Linked DNA regions of Kluyveromyces lactis. The protein of the gene in region 2 interacts with the protein of the main gene of each other region in a pairwise test. Links are inferred from orthologs where the notes say so. Each region holds a gene or a part of one and is shown on either strand. Other genes may lie near its edges. The genes, in order: CNS1 and HGH1.

Region 1 (3,230 bases), on a different chromosome or scaffold from region 2:
GAAATCAAGTGATTCCCAGCTTCCACCAGTTAGTCTTAATAGAGTCCTAGATCAAAAGTGGGAAAAACGCTACCCTTTCGACGCTGCTGGATCTGGGGCTGTGTATGACTCCGTGGTTCATGGGACCAAGGATAAACCCAAGGCATGTTTCGTATCATTGGTCCGGAATGAAGAACTATGGGATTTGGCTAAATCGATTTCATCTGTCGAAGATCGTTTCAACAATAAGTTTAATTATCCATGGATCTTCCTAAACGATGAACCATTTACCGAAGAGTTCAAAGAACGTATCTCTGCCATTGTTCCAAACTCTCAATTCGGTGTTATACCGAAGGAACACTGGTCATACCCAGATTATGTTTCTAAAGAACGTGCAGCTCAAACTAGAATTGACATGCAGGATATAATCTACGGTGCTTCCGAGAGTTATCGTCACATGTGTCGCTTTCAATCGGGGTTCTTTTTCCAACATCCATTATTAGCCGAGTTCGATTGGTACTGGCGTGTCGAACCAAGTACCGAATTGCTATGCTCCATCGATTATGATATCTTCCAACAGATGCAGGATAAAGACTTAGGTCTCGGATTCGTCATTTCTATCCATGAATTTGTCATCACAATCCCAACTTTATGGAACACTACTCGTGGGTTCGCAGAAAAACATTCAGAATACATCCATAACGACAATTTGTTGAAGTTCATATCCGATGATGGTGGTGATAGTTATAACTTGTGTCATTTCTGGTCGAATTTCGAAGTCGCCAACCTAAATTTCTACAGATCAAAAGCATACACGGACTATTTCGATTATCTTGATCGCTCAGGTGGATTCTTCTACGAACGCTGGGGTGATGCTCCCGTACATTCAATTGCTGCATCGCTTTTCTTGCCTCGCAACAAATTGCACTTTTTCCAAGATATTGGATATCATCACCCTCCATACAACAATTGTCCGTTCGACAGCGGAATTAGAGCCAAGGGTAAATGTTACTGTGACCCAAAAACCGATTTCACATTCAGGGATTACGCTTGTGGTATTCAATATTACGAGGCCCAAGGCATTGAAAAACCCTTTAATTGGAAAGATTATAGTGGCCGAGGCTATTGATATGGAATCTCACCTGGCCACCATCCACACTTATCATATTAATTCTCCCCTTCCCCCCATTCCCCACGATACTGATAGAACAATACAATTTGGGGCGCATACAGTTTTTTAAACTTTAGTACTCACTCTTATTTATTTGATTACTTGCCAGTATATAATCTGGTAATATTACCGGGTGTTGTAATGGACACCACCATTCACTAAATCACGTGGTTTGTTGATCTTTTTCTCGACTCGCCAAGAGAGCTTTGACACAGAATTTTACAAGTTCTAGGAAAAAAATCTCATCTCATCTCATCGAGCGGAAAGTGACTGTTCAAAAAAGCCAGTTACTCTGTCTCCACAGCTTCTGATAACGCACTTGGTATAGTCAAATTCCTGCCTGATTCACATCGTCAGAAATTTAACATTATCTGTATTATCTGAAGGGTTTAAAAGGAGGATATCTACTAAGGCCTGCTCACAATGGAAAAACCAAAGAGGTATGTTCCAGGTCCAAATGACCCACTTTTACCACCACAACTATCTGAGTTCCAAAATAAAACCACTGATGAGGTATTGGAGGAGTTAAATAAGATGCCATTTTTTATGAACAAACTTGACCCAGATGAAAGCAATGTAGAGTTGGAAGCCTTAAAAGCCATGGCCTATGAAGGTGAGCCCCATGAAATTGCAACTAATTTCAAGAATCAAGGGAACGATCTTTACAAGGGTAAGAGGTTTAAGGATGCAAGGGCTATGTATTTGAAAGCTTTGGATGTTAAATGTGATGTACTATCTATCAATGAATCTTTGTATTTGAATTTGGCTGCTTGCGAGCTTGAAATTAAAAACTATAGAAGTTGTATCAATTACTGTAGGGAGGCACTCAAACTAAATGCAAAAAACGTTAAGGCATTTTTCAGAATAGGTAAGGCTTATCTCGAATTGGGAAGGTTCGAAGATTCTCTCGAGGCCGTTCAAGTTGGGCTTGCCGTGGATCCTGAAAATGGGGCATTAAAATCCATCCAGTCCAAAGCTACTGAAAAGCTTAAACGTAAAAAGGAGCTGGAGAATCGTACTTTAGCTCAAAAACAGAAGGAAAAGGAACTCCAAGAGTTTTTGGATCTGGCAGTACAAATAAGAAACATAACGCTAGTTGATACCAAACAACCAGCAGGTCTTTTGAAAGATACTAAACTCACATTGGAAAACCCAACAGATTTCGAATCACAATTAATATTTCCAGCTATGGTTCTTTATCCGACTACGGACGAGTTTGACTTTATCGCGTCTGTTTCTGAACTATCCACACCAAATGACCTTCTTGATGTTGTACTTAACAGACCGGCAGAATGGTTTGCACAACCAGGGCACAAAGATTTTACTGCATCTAAACTTCATGCATACATGGAAACTCTGTCTGGAGGCTTGATCAAGATTGGTAAAAAAGTTACCTTCCATGATGTTTTGAAGATGGAGAAGCCTAAGGCTCCTCTTTTCGATAAGTCTCTAAGAGTATACTTTGTACCAAAAACGGAGGCACAAGGATGGCTAGATAACTGGGATAAGAATGCAGCAATAATGAAACGATTGTAGATATTACAGACACTAGATATTGCATTATATAGACACGTCACTATGAATTAAGGTAATTTACCTTTTCTTAAGTTTTTGTAGTCTTGAAGTGCTAGTTTGAAAGATCTCATCGATATGTAGCGGTGGAATGGGGCCTAATATTTGCTCTATATCCCAATTTTGTTGCAACAACAATTGTTGCTTTAGTTTTTCTGGCTCAGCCCACGAAGTCAGTGTCCGCTCTACTTGGTTATTACCTTCATCATCAGAAATGATTTCAGGTAAAGTAACATCGTTGGAAGTTCTTTCCGTTTTTGGTGGTGCGCCGATATATTCCCTATAATCAACTGTATTGATATCATGTAACATGGAATTTGTACTGGCAGATTTAGAGAGTGGCGGTAATGTTGCGTTGTTACGATCTAAAAGAATCTTTGTTCTTCTTTTAGTATCCTCATCTGCCTGAGAAATCCTCCTCTGTTGGAGTTCATACTTTTTCCGCATTTGTTGCTCTTGCTGGTTACGCATCACTTCACTCAACCGCTTATTCAATTTTTGCTTTAGC
Region 2 (3,408 bases):
TTGCCGTGTAGTTCAAAGACTATTGGAATTTGGAACTCTAAAGGACCAAGATGATATTTTGAATGACTTGGATGAATTCATCCCATTCTTGATCCAGGATCAATACGGTAACTACGTAATTCAGCATATTTTACAGCATGGAACTGAAGATACGAGCAGTCACATAGGAATGAGTAAACAAAATATCATCGATATCATTCGTAAGAATGTTGTTGAATATTCAAAACACAAATTTGCCTCCAATGTTGTTGAAAAGTCAGTAGTTTACGGATCCAAAAACCAGATAAGACAGATTTTGGATCAAATTCTACCAAGAGACGAAGAGCACGCCGCTGATTTGGAAGATAATGCACCATTGATTCTAATGATGCGGGATCAATACGCGAACTACGTTGTTCAAAAGCTCGTGGGTGTCGCAACTGGTGAAGATGAGAGGTTGATTGTTATTTCCATCAGATCCTATTTGGATAAATCCAATAAAAATAACACTTTGGGTAACAGGCATTTGGCTAGTGTTGAAAAGTTAGCAACTTTGGTGGAAAAAATTCAGATATAGATGTATGTCAGCCTCAACTTGGGAAAGCAAGACAAAAAAAATTGTTCTGCCTCGAATATTTGCATTTGATAACCACGCTTTCTTTCCCTAATAACTGGTTCACTTTCTAAATCATTCTATTGATGAAGATTGCCATTTCTTACGTTTTGTATCCCCGTGATATCTCTCACGAAGATCTTAATATCTTCTAAAATCTGTTGTTGAGAACAGATTACTACCTAATAAATTAATATCCTTTAAATGTACATATTGTTTATCATCATCCTGTTTATAATACATGCAAATATTTATCTCTGCTATAAGTTTTAATGACCATAATATTATAGTACTTCTAGAATCCTAATGGTGATATCGTTCAGATGAAATCAACCCGTTAATGCAAAATGTGTCATATGCGTTACCTGACCAAAGTGAACGCTAACGTCCAAGTCATGACAAACCCAGCTAGCTCGCGGAATAGATTTTTAACCCATATTTTATGCACTGGATTAGTAAAATATAGACTAGGCTTGAATTTGCAAAACCACGCTATAAATATGAGGTTCACCAGGATATAAACAGCAAAAAACATTCCAAAACCTGCAAAAGATTGAAGTTGCAATATCCCAGCACTAAGTCCTGCTGTCAGCATTGTAGAATCCTGTATCCGTAGTAGTTTGTTGTTGTTGAAACTTCCACTTTTGGAAGACTTTAGGTCGGTGAAGCGATAACTCATTTTCCAATGCTGTTATCTCGTAGTTATGATTGCAATTGGTTGCAATAAGCCAAGACTAGAATAAAAGTGATTTATTATGATAAATGCAGCACTTAAGGATCAATCGAATCGCAGATTGAAAAGCTCTGTTTCTAACGGTGGTTCTATTCATTTAATTGAAGATGGAGATCTGTTATTGTCGGTTTGATGCTGATGTAATTGTTACCCGCCTTAAAGAGTCGAACCTTTTCTTTCACGAAACTTGAGAAACGTTTGACAAACTCATCGCAGCTCATCGCATCAACCATATCTACGTTGGCAGTTGGTGTAACTAGGTATTGTTCACCAGCTAATCAACTATAACTTTCATTGTTCAATAAAACATCTTTGTTCGAAATATCTGCGTTTACTTGATACGATAAAGAGGGAAGATGTCCACGGAATTAGAAGAATTAGTGTCATTTTTGCATTCAGACCAGCCTGCCGTCAGACAGATTGCTCTTGATAATCTGGTTGGCTTCTCAACTGGAGCAAGTGCTGTCATTTTCAAATGTAATAATTACAAAGCTATAGAGGATCTAAAAGTTCTAGCTAAAGATAAGTCAAAAGTTATCGTTCAACAATCCACTACGATTTTAGCGAATTTATGTGATGATGTTACTATGAGAAAGTTGATCGTCAAGGATACTGAATTCCTACAGTACTTATCGTGGAAAATCTGTGATTTAGCTAACGCAAGTGCGGATATCATGTGTATTTTATTGTCTAATCTCGCCAAGGAAGACAATATTACCGAATTGTTTTCGTTTGTTAAGAAGGAAGACGATGGTATTCCATTAAACATAGAAGTCTTTAAAAGCAACAAAGTAATGGATTGCTTAATGGATTGTTTTGTGAAGGGTTACGATAGAAAGTTGAACAGATATGCCACTTATGACTACTTAGCTTATTTCTTTGCCGACATTTCGAGATTTAAGATTGGTAGAGAGTATTTCATTGAACAGCAGGAGTATGACGGCGTCATCCCAATTTCTAAACTATTGGTATTCACTGAAAAGTATGATGCTAAAACCAGAAGAGAAGGTGTGGCTTATACCATCAAGAATTCGTTATTTGATTCCGAAAAGCATGAAAACCTTTTGACTAATGAGGAAATCAATCTTTTACCTTATATTCTTCTACCGATTGCATCAGCTAAAGACTCCGAAATTGATGAAGAAGATATGTTCAATCTACCGGATGAATTGCAACTCTTACCTGCCGACAAAGAGAGAGATCCTATTCCTGAAATCATATGTGTGCATTTAGAAAGTATTTTATTGCTTTGTACCACTAAAGCCGGCAGAGAATACTTAAGATCGAAATCAGTATACCCATTGGTCAGAGAGTTACATAAAAATATTGGAAATGACGATATCGGTGAATTATCTCATAGAATTGTTAACATGTTGATGAGAGGTGAGCCGGAGAATCAAGTGATAGAAGAAATCGTGGCCAAATCTGCGGAAGATGGCGAAATAGCCGAGATAGAAGAAGAAGAAGAAGAAGAAGAGTCCGACGATGATGACGATGCTATCGTCGAAGTTTTATAAATGATAACTTCCTATAGATATCTTGTTTTCAAATAACATATATTTATTTTAAGCGTACTTATTGTTAATAAACTGACTATATCAATATGCTATTTCCTGCCCCTTCCAATTGGACCCAGGTGATATATATCAATTATCACTACATGTATATCTCCAGAGGTTTGAAAACGAGGAAATTATGTTAACTACTTACTCAATTCGAGGAATTTACCGTTCAGTTTAACAAGTTTCTTGACAAAAACCTTCATTCTTTCTTTATTGTCAGGATGTCTACCGACCTTTTCTTTCAATTGTCTGATTAATTGTTTCAAAGTCAACTGCTTGCCCTCAATTGCATTGATTATATCGTCTTCCGTTAACAAATCATCTGCCGAGTGATCAGACTTTGCCCTCTTATTGTCCATAGATTCTTGTGGCTGAGACTCTGCTGGACGTTTCTTCAAGTTTGGATTCCAGGCTCCTGCAGGGAAGTTCGATAATACTGATTTCTCACCAGTTAGTACAACGATATTTTGATTAATGCTTTTTACTACTAATTTTGGTGGACCTGATGGTGTGTCAGAAGC

What was found.
Region 1: the proteins of HGH1 (region 2) and CNS1 interact in binary tests that used the Saccharomyces cerevisiae proteins (3 or more experiments, as listed by UniProt). The link is inferred for Kluyveromyces lactis from reciprocal best matches to the Saccharomyces cerevisiae genes HGH1 and CNS1.

The regions. Positions count from the first base shown.
Region 1 is NC_006038.1:872,216-875,445, reverse strand, and holds CNS1 (HSP70/90 family co-chaperone CNS1), read left to right. Parts: upstream 1-1,573; coding exon 1,574-2,686; downstream 2,687-3,230. Other genes in the region: KLLA0_B09988g (glycosyltransferase family 15 protein), read left to right, coding at 1-1,108; SLI15 (Sli15p), read right to left, coding at 2,744-3,230. UniProt on the Saccharomyces cerevisiae protein: Co-chaperone that binds to the molecular chaperones Hsp90 (HSC82 and HSP82) and Hsp70 (SSA1). Stimulates SSA1 ATPase activity, but not Hsp90 ATPase activity. Involved in only a subset of Hsp90 functions.
Region 2 is NC_006042.1:1,426,271-1,429,678, reverse strand, and holds HGH1 (Hgh1p), read left to right. Parts: upstream 1-1,681; coding exon 1,682-2,842; downstream 2,843-3,408. Other genes in the region: mRNA-binding protein PUF3, read left to right, coding at 1-556; EMC6 (Emc6p), read right to left, coding at 954-1,271; transcription factor IIF subunit TFG1, read right to left, coding at 3,028-3,408.